Caenorhabditis elegans: one gene and its partner. The protein of the gene in region 1 interacts with the protein of each later gene in a pairwise test. Each region holds a gene or a part of one and is shown in the gene's direction. Other genes may lie near its edges. The genes, in order: rpa-2 and C18A11.1.

Evidence for each region.
Region 2: the proteins of rpa-2 (region 1) and C18A11.1 interact in a two-hybrid assay, tested with the Caenorhabditis elegans proteins (one large-scale study listed by BioGRID).

What each region holds. Positions count from the first base shown.
Region 1 is NC_003279.8:4,768,186-4,771,986, forward strand, and holds rpa-2 (Replication protein A C-terminal domain-containing protein), read left to right. Parts: upstream 1-2,106; 5' UTR 2,107-2,118; coding exon 2,119-2,202; intron 2,203-2,249; coding exon 2,250-2,571; intron 2,572-2,620; coding exon 2,621-3,081; 3' UTR 3,082-3,173; downstream 3,174-3,801. Other genes in the region: M04F3.4 (EF-hand domain-containing protein), read right to left, coding at 3,301-3,304, 3,419-3,496, 3,693-3,801.
Region 2 is NC_003284.9:8,067,470-8,071,082, forward strand, and holds C18A11.1 (Activator of Hsp90 ATPase homolog 1-like protein), read left to right. Parts: upstream 1-1,858; 5' UTR 1,859-2,187; coding exon 2,188-2,229; intron 2,230-2,366; coding exon 2,367-2,536; intron 2,537-2,581; coding exon 2,582-2,729; 3' UTR 2,730-2,820; downstream 2,821-3,613. Other genes in the region: nssp-82 (Neuropeptide-Like Protein), read left to right, coding at 219-293, 342-398, 459-554.

The sequences.
Region 1 (3,801 bases):
TTTACACGAGAGGAGACGAAGTAAAGAACGTAGAACGAGTTCTATTTAAAAAATTCGAATAAGATAACCTGAAAAATTGCCATGAAATGTTTTTCAGAGCCGGCGGAAATTGTTCAATGAAATAATTGTACAAATTGGTTTGCAAGCTATTCATTGAACATTAAGAGCGATATTTTATTGATCATGATAATTATTTACAGATAAGGATAATATTACATTTAATGAATTACATAATTTCAACAAAAAAAACAATAATTTGTCATGAAAACGGAAGAATTTGGAGGATGAGCAGCTCGGGCGGATCTGAAAAATTTAAATTAGAACTTTCATAATGACATCGCTGATATATAAATGAAAAAAGATTTTATCTCGTCTATTATCAGATTCGCTTAGTTTTTAGAGGCCTTTGGCTTAAATGAATGCTACAGGTACACTTTTCTCTTAATGGATACGGAAAAGTGAACAAAAATCAAATTTCTAGCGTCTTTTCCACCATACCAATTACAAAATTCTACACAATTCAATTGAGAAGTCTACGGTTTGGAGTTTTAACGTTCACAGAGACGTACAATCGAAAAGAACATGGTTATTGCGAAGAAGAACTGATCGCCCGCCACTATACAGAAATTCCGACTTCAAAAGAGCAGTGACAGCAAATTATAGCTGTTTCAACGATTTCAATGCCTGTATAAGTCCATCTATGTTCGATCCGAAGATATTTCATTAATTTTTTGTTAAACTATTTCAATTTTTGTTCTTAAATCAATTTTTTTTCCTACTTTCTACAATTTGAGAATATAATACTCACGTAGGTGGACTGGAGAAGCACATCCTTGTTTCATCCGTGCAATTTTGATGGTCCCTCGATTCGACGAAGTCTAGAAATTAAAAAAATTAATAAAATATGAGAGGGAAAGAGATTAACAAAAGGAATACACGAATTAAGGAGGGCGAATTAACAAGTCACGGTTGAAAAATACTTTTTTTTGCGAAAATGGCTGAAAAAACGAAGAAAAACAATTCAAATTGAAGTTTTTAGAGTCGAAATTGATTTTTCTCCCCCAAAAAACAATGAAGAAAATCATCATTCAAAACCGTGCGGAGGTTGCAGAAATGGGCGTATTGTAAGGCACGGTTCTGTGGGCGTGGCCAATCCCCCGAGTTGGGAATCCCCCCAGTTGGACATCCCCCGAGTTCTTCGGGTCTCGTCGAGTGAAATGCGATAGAATTTGTCTGTGAAAAACCAAATATCGATTTTCCTTGAATATCGTGAAGAACAAATCTTCATACTTACGATTCTTCACAAATTCGATGAAAATCTGATAGTTTTTTCAATTTTAGCTCTATAATTCCGAAAAAAATCTTCTGTTAATTTTCGCGAAATGTCGTCAATTAAAATGCGCGCTGTGCAGTACGCAACGGTGTACGAAAGTTTACACTGAGTATTCAACGTTGAGCACGCAGTCAGCCAAATTGGAATACGGTAGAGAATCCTCGTCCATGTACCCCCCGCCGGGCCGTGGGTCGAGCTGAATACACGTGATTCTCCTACGCAAGGACTATAAAAGTGAGCTGTCACTCTCATTTTTCTTCTTTTTTCATAAAATTTAGTTCATTCACTTTATCGTTGCTTGTCTTTTTGTGATATTAAGACTTCCTGCGCTTATATTTTCATCTTGCCAGTGCTTTAGTGTTAGATTCATATAAATTTTCTGGCCTTCACTTTCAGATTTTTCACATTATCCAAAAATACATGTACACTGAATTCCTGAGTAAATAATTCTTTATGATTTATTTTTCTTTTTAATGGTTTTCCCTGTGTTCGCGGAATATTTTGTTTTGAAACCTAGTGAAGTAAGCGCGCTCTATAGAAACGCGCGAAATTGGCCGTTCAAACTAAGTATTGCATAATTTTAGCTCCATTTTCGACATCATATCAGTTTTTTACTAAATTTTTCTGTTAAAAAGTTAAAATTTATGTTTCAGTGTTTCTAAAATATGTAACACATCTTGTCTCTCTGGAATCTGTTGATAAACGCTAATTATTCACCTTCCCTTTCTTTCCTTCATTTTTCTCGCATTTCTAATCTATTTTCATCTTTCCAGAAACTACTAACCATGTGGAACGAGACTGTCGAGCACGAGAACGCAGGAAACGGATGGGCCGCTGGAGAGTCGTCGTTTATGACCGACAGAAAGCCTGTAAGAATAAGAGATAAATCATACTTTCAAATAAATATTTTTTACAGGACTCGAAGGCTACAACTCTCGGCGAGAGGCTCCCAGTGCCGGTCACGATTTCCAATCTGATCGAGCACTTTTCTGCGCAGGATGACAAGTATGTCGTCGGGACTTTCCGATTCGCAACGGTGTTGACCGTCGGTATTGTGAAGGATATCAGTCAGGATGGGACAACGTACACGTACGACCTCTGTGATCCAAACAACACGGAGATGGAATATCGTACGCTCAAGTATGACAATGAGGGTTCGACATTCGATCATTCTTCAATTGTCGAGGGAACTCGTGTTCGAGCCATCGGAAAGCTCAAGGGATTCGATGGAAACAATAGTAAGTTTATATTTCCTTCAATTATATATCTTAATTCAAATAATTTCAGCCATTATGCTGTTCAACATCACTCCAGTTGAAGACGACAAGGATTTCACGATCTTCGAGCTCGAGGCAGAAGCTGCACGTCTGTTCTTCCAAAAGAACGTGAGCGAGAAACTGAAGTCGGTCGACTCGGATGGCTTCCAAGGAATGCTGGCACCACCGAAGAGCAGAATGTCACAAACATCGCATCAAAGCTCGCAAGGATCGGACACCAAGGAGAGATTGTATGCTCAACCGCAAAAAGTGATGACGGGAGCGAACCAAGGAGATGTGCTCAGAGAGCGCATTACCGCCGTCTTGATGGCTGTGCCAGAGGGTTCTCGTGACGAAGGTCGACATGTTTCGTGGATAGCTGAGCAAATTCAAGAAACGAACATTTCTATTGTTCGTAAGTGCGTCGGTGAGATGGTCGAGAACGGATTGGTCTACACCACTGTCGACGAGGAAACTGTTTCCGCTATTTAACTGCTGATTGTAACATTATTTTCATTATCCTTCTTTCATCCCACTGGGAAATTCACTTTTGATACTCGAAACTATGAATGATTCATACTTTAAAAGCGTTTATTAGTAAATTTGAACATAATTAATTAGACGCTAATGATGCGAAGAATCCGAGGAGGAAAGAGAGCATGAGGAACGGCAAATCACATTATTAACCCAGACGATTGAACACACTTCGAGCTACCTGAAAACAAAACGAAATTGAATTTAACTTTTTTTCGAATGGAAGCTAGTAGAAGTGCTAGGTGTTAGGTCGAAAATGGATTGTGGTTGGTTCTCTAAATACTCTTAAAATCACATTTTCAATGAAAAGACCATTGTCAGGAACTGCTCGTAGCCGACGGTGATGACTCCATCGCGGTCCGTGTCGACGTCTCTGAAAATTAAGTAATCAGATTGTAAAGTATGATACTCCAAATTTTTTGGTCAAAAATTACTATAGAAACATAGAAAATAGTTAGTTCCATCTAAAAATATTTTTAAAGTAATATTTAATTTTGTTGAAAAATTTTGAATTTTTTAAAAGAGCTTTTCTCTAAATTTCTAAATCAATTTTAGCCCTGATTTCTAACCTGAAGGCAGCAGTGAGGGTCTGAAGAACGACGCAAAGTTGGATAAAATCGTCGAAATTGATTCGATTACTGTGGGATCTGTCGAATTTGTGCATAAGGATGTTGTAGA
Region 2 (3,613 bases), on another chromosome or scaffold:
ATATTATTCGATGCACCATCCACCCACATGATATCATTTTCCTTCTTATTTCCACCCTATGTGCCACTTTGCACACCTACTTGAAAACTGGAGAACCCATTCTATTTCCCGAGAAATACTTGTTCTATTGGTCATTTTATTTTCCGGCTCACTACTTTCTTGCCGAGTTGTATAAGGTTAAAAACATCAAACCCCATTTGTAGAGCCGCATCGCCGTCATGTTCAACGTCAAACTTCTTCTCGCTTTTTTCTTGTGTGTTTTGGTAGTTGAAACTACCACAAAGGTGGTCAAGGTAAAACATAATTAGTGTTGAAATGAAAGCTAAATTCACAATTTTCAGTTTCACTCAGTTTCCTTCAATCAACCATCCTGGAGAACTTCCCAACGCTCCAGACAGGTTGGTAGATGATTTACTGTTAGTTTTCAGCTGCAGTTTTTACAGAGTCACAATTTTCAGATTCAAGGCTACGGTCCAGTGTCGGCGTTTGCTGAAAGCGGCTCCTCTCGACCACTTTTTTTCGGTTCATGGCGCAAACGCTTCGATGAGGAATAAATTTTATTCATTCGTTTCTCAAGATCTTACGTTTTCCCGTTCGTTTGTCAGTGAAAATAAAAAGTTGTTATGTGTTTTTTGTTTTTTTAAACAAGACTGAACATATTGAATTAATTTATATATAGTTGAAAAGGAAATTACATTTTTGCACACTGCAACTTCCGAACTCGCTGGTCTGCAACGGTGGCTCTTTATTCGAATAGAATAATTCAGAAGGTCATTAAAAATGTCGAGAAACGTGATCTGGTCCAAGTCACTTTTAAAGTTGGTAAAAACACTAATTGGAGGAACTAAACTAAAGAGAAAACTAGGATGTGGTATTTGAAGGAGATCATTTTCCTTTGAAAAAGAGGTCATGCATAACATTTTCATAATAATCAGGTCATACCACCCAATACGTTAAGCCAAAGAACAAATATATGTAGACAAGACTTTTCTAAATTCTGGTGCTTTGAAGAAAAAACTTTCAGGCTGAGAACATTGAAAATGCAACGAAGTTTTTTGTTGATTGTTTGTTTTGTGTTGAACGATTACCCTTGTTAAACCATAGCTAAATTTTTCAACTAGGGACTAGAGTACTTGATTACCCATAGACTGATCGCGTCTGCTCCGCGCGCATTCCAAATTTGTAAAATGTCTTTAAAAAATTCTGTGCGCGCGGATAGAACGCGATCAGAGCGCAAACTTGGCGCGGAAGAAGCTAGAAAACACGTGTCATTGGAGCGTGAACCAGTAATCTAGTCGCGCTTCAGGAGGAGCAATTTGCCGAGTAGTCACGTTGGTCGATTAAATAATAAAAAACTGAACGTTATATATATATTAATATATAAAATTTTTTTCAGGCATTTTTCTGATCTCGCTTCTTTTCAGCTTTGAATTGAGGTTTGTTTGCGGGTTTTGCTTTGTTAAGAATACATTATTAGAAAACGTCAAAAGTTTGGAAAAAAATCCGTCCAAATAGAAAATATATTTTTTTCGGATAATTTTTTAGTTTTTTGAATATTTCTTGAGATTCAAATTTCAAACTCAAATGATTTATATGTGTAAAAATAGTTTACACTTGGGTACATCATTTCTGTAGGAAAAATCTAGAATTTTCGACAAAATTTTTTTTGCATTTTTTTTGACGACCAATCAAAAAAAAACTTTTTTGGACGGATTTTTTTCCAAATTTTTGTCGTTTTCTAATAATTTATTTTAAACAAAGCAAAACCCGCACACAAACCGCAATATATTATCAAAACCTGCCAAAATGATTATTCGTGTATTTTAAGAAAATTTTTTGATAAGAGAAAAAGAAAGACACTATAGTTGGTTATTAGAGCGCTATGAGGCAAACCACTTTTCCATATGTCCGCATATCACTTTATCTTAGTCAAACTCCACACTTCTTTTGTCCCCGCGGAGCAAAACTCACTGCTTTTGTTATCGAATTTTTTTTCTCAACCCGGGAAATTTCGCAATACTTTCTGACCGAAAGGTAAACATATTGGTTGCCCATCATCACGAGTAAGAACAAAATATACGGAACCATCGTTATCGAGAACAAAATAGACTGGTTGTCTACATAAAATACGTTTTAGTCTCGTCATTCGTTTCAATTTCATCGGTTGTGTTCATACGTATTGGCAAAATGACAAAAGCCCCGATCGATTTTGAGGAAGAGTGGTGCAAGGTGAGTAGACAAACTTTTTTTTATCGATCTAATAAAATATTATCAAAAAAAAACAGACGACAAATTGTGAAATTAAAAATATCAATTGATTTTCATATTTCAATATTAAAAAAAAAAAAAGTTTTCATAATTTCCAGATTTCAAATGGAACTTTGGAAATAAAATGGTATTATTTTCCAACAACTCAAAGCTTGAAAATTGACATCGAAAAAATCCAACAAGTGAAAATTCAAAGTCAAGCTAAAAGTTATGTCAAAAACTGGGGATCCGGAGATTTGTGTGCATGGTGGGCATGTGATATGAAACGGTAAACTCAATCAATGCTACTGTTTTTTCACAGTCAAATTTTCAGCAACTTTCGCAGTCACCCAGAAGAGTTTTTCAATGTAAAAATTGACATCGGCGAAACGTTCAAAAAAGGATTCACTGTACATGAACTGGACAATTTCTTGCCTGCAATTCGAAAGTGGCTGAAAGTCCAAAATATTGTTTTTGAGTGAATTTTTTTGTGTTAATGTAAAAAATGTATGAGTTGTGTAATAAAATGTTTTGTCATCCAATATTCCAAAGTTAAATAAAAATTGTTTCAAATCCGACCAAAATGAAATTGAAACTGTCCTACCCAAATTTTTCCTTTTCACAAAAAGGTAAATCGAAAAAAGATATTTATGCATTGTCGTCTTCGTCAATTTTCAAACTTATCAATTTTCGACAGTTTCATTAACCGTCAATTTTCGTTTTATGTAAATGAAACCAATAGAATATAATTACCGATTTAATTGTATGCTTTGTATAAATGTTTAATCAGCTTACCAATTGCCTCAAAACAGTTTTTCCTTTCATTCTTTGTCCTATCTCCGTCGGTGAAAATGTTAAACTATGCGTTTCTAATTCTTTCAATAATGTCTTATTAAAACACTATTTCAAAAAACTGGGAATACGTACGAATCAACCACTTTCCAACCAACTTTATCTGCTCTCTAACCAACTTTATCCATTTTTCAACCAACTTTTGCCAACTTTTACCAATTTTCGCCAACTGTCACGAACTTTGTCCAGATGTTTAGAGCACTGTAGAAGTTTTGCCACTTCTGTGAATGTCACTTAGAAATAGGCAAAAGTTGATAGAGATTTGTTTGATACTTAACCAAGCCATATAAAAAATGAGAATGAGAATGAAACGAGAACGTGGAAATACAAATTAATCTATTATCAAAAAAAAAATTAAAAATCATTACGTGTAAACACTGTGATGGTCAAAACTCACACAAGACAACCAATATTGCGCATTTTAATTATTTGTTAAATAACTGGCAAAAATTGCAAGCAAAAATAACTACTCTAGACAAAAAACCCCCGTTTTTTTTTCAATCCCTCACAATGC